Linked DNA regions of Rattus norvegicus. Each later gene encodes a partner of the first gene's protein in a complex. Links are inferred from orthologs where the notes say so. Each region holds a gene or a part of one and is shown on either strand. Other genes may lie near its edges.

Region 1 (4,226 bases):
GGCTCAACCATTCTCCTGTCCAAGGAGCTACTTGATGTCTGTCCATTTACATGTAGGGAAAACCCCTTAATACTGCTGTTCAAACCCCACTTTCCCAACCCTCTCCATCTCAAGAAATTGCAATGTCACAAACCTCAGTTCTTTGAATTGTTTACTTTTCGTTAGTTTAGATTTGTGTAGGGTCTAGCATTCCATAAATTCTGCATCCACTGGCATTTACACAATGGCTGCCACCATTTCTACAGGCCCCACTTACTTCTCCCCAGATTACTCTGCTTGTTTAGTTTTGCCTCTGGGAGTCACTGTGTGAACTTTTTATACACATAAGCACATCTCCTGCCTTAGTCGAATTTAGTATCATCTCAGATAAAACCACCCTGGATTTGAAGAAGAGCTATATGCTCTCTTTGATTCTAGAGACCTCACACATCTAGCAAAACTGGCCTTGCACCACATCCTTCCAGACCCTACCTTTTAGAAGTCTTGTTCTCAGTAGACCTCCACAGACACCAAGATGAACCTCAATTTAAAAAAAACAAAACAAAACAAAACAAAAAAAACCGACAAAAATCCTACCAACACTTTTTTTTTTGCTAGTAAGAAAAGGATGTTTTAGGGGGAAAAAAAAAATCACACATGCTAGAGAATCTCTTTTATTATGAACACAGTTCCTTAAGGTATGTGAATGTGTTCAAAACTTAAAATGCAGTTAAACCTGAAACTTCGAAATCAAGTAAGAGGCCAGGCATAGTGGTACATTTTTTTTTCTTTTTTTTCTTTTTTTCAGAGCTGGGGACCGAACCCAGGGCCTTGCGCTTGCTAGGCAAGTGCCCTACCGAGTGGTACACTTTTAATCCCAGCATACTGGAAGCACAGGTAGGAAAGCAAGAAGATGGTGAGTCTGAAGCCAATCTGGGCCATACAGTCAGACCCTATCTCAAAAAAGGAAAGAAGGAAGAAAGGAGGGAGATCTGGTAACATTATTTTTAATATAATCTAGTCATGCTTTTTAGTACTAAAGACTGAACCTATTGCCTTGTTCATGATAAGCAAGCTCTCTACCACTGAACTACATCCCTACTTTTTATTTTTCATTTTTAGATTTATTTATGTGTATGACTGTTTGTCTGCACAGTATATATGTGGAGCACATGCATACCTGATGTCCATGGAGGTCAGAGTCACAGTTGTGAGTTGCCATGTAGATACTGGGAATAGAATCCAGGTCTTGGGGCTAGAGAGATATAGCTCAGTGGTTTAGAGCACTGGCTGCTCTTCCAGAGGTCCTGAGTTCAATTCCCAGCAACTACATGGTGGCTCACAACCATCTGTAATGGGAGCCCTCTTCTGGTGTGTCTGAGGACAGCTACGGTGTATAAAGTACTCATATACATTAGATAAATAAACCTTAAAAAAAAAAAAAAGAATCCAGGTCTTTTGCAAAAGCACCAGGTACTCTTAACCACTGAGAGCTATCTCTCCAGCCCCCTGTATCCTCACATTTTTAAAAAGATTTATTACCTATACACTGTTCTGCCTGCATGTACCCCCGCACACCAGAAGAGGGCACCAGATTTCATTACAGATGGTTGGGAGCCACCATGTGGTTACTGGAAATTGAACTCAGGACCTCTGAAAGAGCAGTCAGTGCTCTTAACCGCTGAGCCATCTCTCCAGCCACTCTTCCCTTACTTTTTAAAAGAAAACTTTTTATTTGAAGGTGGGTGGTGGTGGTTTGTGCCTTTAACTCTAGCATTTGGGAGGCAGAGATAGGAGGAGCTCTGAGTTCGAGGCCAGCTTTGTATAAAGAGCAAGTGCCAGGACTACACAGAGAAACCTTGTCTAGGGTTAAAAAATAAAATAAAACAAAACCCAACAACTGCCAACTAAACCCCAACTTTGTATTTGAGACACATTTTGCCTACAATTCATTCTGCAGCCTAGACAAGCCTGAAGCAACAATCCTCCTGCCTCAATCTACCAAGTAGCTAAAATTAGGGGTCACATACCAAGGCCAGTTTCACTTTTGGATGAACGTTAACTTATTTATGGCCAAATGCTTTACAGGCATTATTCTAGAACCTAGGATTAAACGTATGAAATAAGACAGACTTGGAATTTATAATTGGGTGTGGCCCGGGCAAAGTTAATAGACAAGGAATATACTGAGATACTGAGTAATGACAGAAGAGAATTCCAAATGCTAAAGCAGAACCGCGAGCAAAAGCATACGGGTATAACGAAAACACCTATTTACCACCTGAGACGAAATACAAGCAGAATTGTTCCTGCCCTCAGTCTAAGGAAACAACACATGAAGTAGAGGGAGTGATGGTTTAAGGGTTGAGAAGCGTGCGAAACTACATTAACAAGGCTAATTTTCATTCCCTCGGGAATCAGGGTAAGGAAACCAGGTCCCCGGTTCCCTGCTGCCAAGGCAACGGTCCTGAACTGAGGGGACAAGCATCCTTCTCTCCCGGCTTGGTACAGGGATGAACCCTAGACCTCATGTCAGTCACCACTCAAAGCTATAGAGCTTGAGAGACTCGTCTCAGCTCTACTGAGAACAGAACCAACACTCCAATGGGCCTGTTCAAAAAGAAAGTTCCCTCCCTTTCCCCTCAGCATCACCGATGGGCCGGAGCGACCTCTGTCCTTTTCCCGGATAGGGTCTCACCGGTTGGTGGCCTCCTTCACCTACCTAGTACACAGCGGGGAGACCTGGTACCAGGCACCTGCTAGCTGAAAAGCCGACACAGCCCAAAGAAGAGAAGTGGGAGAGAAGGAAGAGGGGCCCAAGAAAAAAAGCGTAAGCGTGAAGGCTGTGGAAGTTCCCAGAGGAGCAAATAATGAGACTACAGGCCAACAATTTCCAAGCCGGCTCTTACCGTCTGTGGGAGACGCCATCTTCCAGCCCATGTCACGTGACGTGGCCAACCGTCGGCGGGAAAGCGAGGATCCGCAAGCCACGCCCCTTACAGGGGTAACCTATCCTTAACTCACAGCCCGGTCTCGTTTCCCTATCTCATAGGGTAATATTTGCCTAGTCCCACCCTAGACAGCAGCCCTACCCGCGAGTGGTAGTTAAGGTGAAACTCAGGCAAAATTCTTCAAGGACTTTATTTACTTTCCTTAGCAAAGGGGCGGGACCTTGAGGGCCTACCTATAGCCAATCGGAGTTCTCGGTTAGGGGGCGTCTTCCCCGTGTGCTTAATATGCAGTACCAAGTCTAGGGGGCGTCTCCCTATCTCCGCCAACAAAAATAGGCTGAAGTCAGAGAAGAGGAAAACGCTTCCGCCTTTGACCAATCACCTATCCCCAAGGCTGGGAGTGATGGGTGGAGTCAAGAATCCTGACACATGATTGGTTATGAAAAGTGCCCCTTCCCTCCAATGGAGAGGCTAGGTTGTGTTCGGGGCGTAGCTTAGCGCTGTAGCTTCTAGGGAGGCACTGGCAGCGGAGGCGCGGGGAGCTGGGCAGAGTCTGGTGAGCCATGGCGGCGGCAGTGGCGGCAGCAGCAGCAGTGCGGTCCCGGATCCTGCAGGCGAGTGAGGGTGGCGACGAGGGACCATGACGTTAGAAATGGGTCCTTTCCGCCCGGTCTCTAAACCATGCTTCTGCTGGACAGATTTCTTGGCCCAGACCCTTCTTTGCAGACCCTTGTGTTCCACCAGACCCGTGTGTTTGAGCTGTCACTCCGTATTGCCTGGCCCGGGAATCCAGCCCCGGACGGTCACGCCTGGCCCACCCCACTTTTACTCCTGATCCTTTCCTTTTCTAGCTCTGACCCACCCACCTTCAGTCCAGCTCAGTCTTTGCTATCACCCGCGGGCTTGCTTTCTCTCATTGGTTCCTCCCACGGACTCCCTTTCACCTCTGTGCCAGCCACCTCTGGGCCCCAGAAACTCCTTTTGGTTACTGTTTATAGAATACTTTCCTTTGCCAGGAGCGTCCCTTCCCCCATCCAGCCTCTATGTGAGGTAAGAGGGGGTAGGAACATGGAACAAGGGTCAGAGAAGAAACTTTGAATCTCTAGACATGTACCCTGGCTTTTCACATCAAAGGCAGCCATTTGCTAGCGTTTACCAACTATTCTGGCCCTTAGTGTTTTTTTCCCAAGCTCTGGGCCAAGTTAAACTTTCTCAGCGAAGTTAAACTTTCGAGATAAATAAGGGCGTTATTGTTTTGCTAACGCTACTAAACATTCCCCAAACAGGTGGTAGAAG
Region 2 (2,609 bases), on another chromosome or scaffold:
AACACAGATAATGACCTAGTGACAGTAAGTCTGGGCCTCAGGAAGGAAATGAGGCTGGGGGCATCTCTCCAGTGAGGTCAGGAATGGCTTCCTGTAGGAAGTTGCATCTGCGCTATGGTAACTGTTTAAGTCAATCAGCCAAGCAGCCGGGAACTCAGCAGAAAGCAGGCCCTGGGGGTGAAAGGATGGGCAGAAGGACCTATCTACTGCACTCACAGGAGCAGGGGCTGGAATGTGGCTCCGGGGCTTCTGGGTGGCCACCACCTTCTCGGGTTTGGCCTGTAGGAAGCCCTGGTTGAGCAGGCTGTTATCCTCCTTGATACCCGGCAAGATGAAGCCAGAGGAGCTGGATGGGACACTGGTTGGCTGGAATCAAAACCGAGATAGTCACCACTTTGTCGGAGATCTTTGCAAGGAGAGGAAAACACAACAAACCAACACACCCTGACACCACCCCGGGCTGCCGCCATCCGGAGCAGGATGTACCTCTCTAAGCCTCAGTTCCCTTTCCGACATGGAAGTTTAGATGAGCTCCCTTAATCTTCTTGCTTAAAGGATTAAGGGAGTATCTGAACTGTTCATTTCAGAGCCCAGCGATGCCAGCTCCTATGCCGGAGGATCAGGCTTCCTGGTCTAGAAATCCCGTAAGCATCAAGTGGGGGAGGACATGGACCCAGAAGGCGCTCCCTGCTCTGCTCAGTGCTCCCTTCCTAATGTCCCACTTGGGGCTGGGGCACAGGCTAATTACTTCCCACACCCATCTCCACAGCAGAGCTCACACCCAGAGTGAGAGGGTGAGGCCCTGGGCTCAACCCCCAGTACTGCTTTAAAAAAAAAAACTTCGAGTAGAGGTAGCCAAAAATGTCTGAGGCTTCCCGGGACAAAAGCTTTTCTAGAAGGACACGGGACACAGCCTTACTTGTAAGATCTCTTTAGCAGTTCATGTCCTTTGATAATGTTCCCCACCCCCTCCTCACAGCTTCTCTATTGGTGCCAGGTCCAAAAGAAACTCCAATCCCCCAAACTCCAAGACAGCTCAACCTGGTCTACAGAAGGATTCCTGGCAGTTAGGTAAGAGCCCGGCATTCCTTAGGAACTTGTGAAGCCGGTTCCACTCTACCAAAAGGAGTCTTTTTCCGTCCCTCTGGCAGAAGGGACAGATAGGCACCGTACCTATCAGTCTATGATGGCCTCCAGGCTCCCTCAGCATCTCAAGTACCTGTCACACATTCCAAAGCCCACCCAGTCCTTATCTCCCCCTCCCCTAAACTCCTCCAGCTCCCTCCTAGCAGCTTCTCCTCCTTAGAGCCCTGATACCCTCACCATGGTTTCTCTGTTCTCTTCAGCTGCCATTCTCCCCACACTCACAGAGCTAGAGGCCCTGGCCATGTCTAGTCTGCTGTCCATGCTCAGTCTGCTTTCTCTGCTCTGGACTCCAGATGCCTCTCAGGGCTGCTCTCTATCTCATAAAACCTCCCCATAACCATATCACAGTCCGGCCACGTCATCGGTTCAGTCAAGCCAGGTCACCTCCCATCAGCTGCAAGGGACCAGTGTCCCCCACAGCATCTGGACTCTTAACGGCAGTGACTCTGTACCTGGAAGAACAAGGCTGGCCCACAGACCAGACAGACAGTAGCCACTTGGGGTTATGCCTCAACCGCAGGCTGTGCTTGGGGGCACAGATGGGTGACCCTTAGTGAGAAGAGTGGTGCTGGGGGCCCATAGCATTCTATCAATAAAACTACTGCCAAATAAAACCTAGGAAAGAAATCAGGCTTAGTGCCAACACTGAGCCCAGCTGGAGAACAAGAACCCACTCCAACTAAAGTGTCCTCTCCATGACCAGACAGCTCCAAAGACAGAAGGTTCCTGAAGATCTGAAGCAGGTGCTGTCAGCCCCTTACCAAGGACAGAGTCTTGGGCGAGGTCGATGACATCATCTTCCCATCCTCATCCACAATGTCAAGAGCCAGAGACTTCCGAACCTTCTTGATAGGGCTTCGCCGGAGCTGAGGGTTAGGAAGAAAACGGACGGTCAGCGTCAGCCATCAGGTCCCCATGGCCAGCGCCTCAGTGAATTAAGAGTGGAACTTTCAAGGCCTAGCTAGCAGCTCTTGCTCCAGGGATAGGGGAAGACCAGGAGCCCTTGGCCACACTAGATCCTGACCCAGATGAACTTTACCCTGCCAGACACTGGGGATCTCCCCAGCCTCACTGTCTATCCTTAGAGCAGTCTAGAAAAAAGAGGTAAAGAAACAAGGAGAGAGTTCAAGTGCCACCTGTGGCTAGAGACAGTGTAAGGAAAGAAGCTCACCCTGAGTCTGGGGCCTCCCCCACCACCCAGCAGCCTGTGAATCACACCTCACTCAATGACACCCTGTGCTATTTTCATGGCCGAGGGAGGCCCTCGCTCCTGAAAGGAACCCTTGGGATCTGTCCTGTCTACTGCCTTTCCTCCCACATGGATTCAGCCAGCCATGAAATAAAGTGTGCTGTATGCCATTCTCTGTCCACTGAGCACCGAGAGTCTCACCTAACCACTACTGCACCCACCACAGACAACCAAGCTCATGTCAGGACGCCCAGTCACAACGCTGGAAGAAAGG

Evidence for each region.
Region 2: the proteins of Lin52 (region 1) and Mybl2 are in contact, whole or in part, in a crystal structure (PDB 6C48), measured with the Homo sapiens proteins. The link is inferred for Rattus norvegicus from reciprocal best matches to the Homo sapiens genes LIN52 and MYBL2. Residues at the interface, in NP_001019845.2 of Homo sapiens: Gln84, Ala87, Tyr88, Gly91, Leu92, Glu94, Ser95, Met98, Thr99, Lys102, Phe103, Leu107, Glu108, Lys109; in NP_002457.1 of Homo sapiens: Trp663, Val666, Ala667, Gly669, Thr671, Asp673, Gln674, Phe676, Lys680, Ala681, Gln683, Leu684.

Annotation. Positions count from the first base shown.
Region 1 is NC_086024.1:109,828,949-109,833,174, reverse strand, and holds the start of Lin52 (protein lin-52 homolog), read right to left. Parts: upstream 2,927-4,226; 5' UTR 2,920-2,926; coding exon of another isoform or gene 2,908-2,919; coding exon 2,889-2,907; intron 1-2,888. Other genes in the region: Aldh6a1 (methylmalonate-semialdehyde/malonate-semialdehyde dehydrogenase [acylating], mitochondrial precursor), read left to right, coding at 3,494-3,544.
Region 2 is NC_086021.1:172,148,785-172,151,393, reverse strand, and holds part of Mybl2 (myb-related protein B), read right to left. Parts: intron 2,013-2,609; coding exon 1,908-2,012; intron 367-1,907; coding exon 217-366; intron 1-216. UniProt on the Homo sapiens protein: Transcription factor involved in the regulation of cell survival, proliferation, and differentiation. Transactivates the expression of the CLU gene.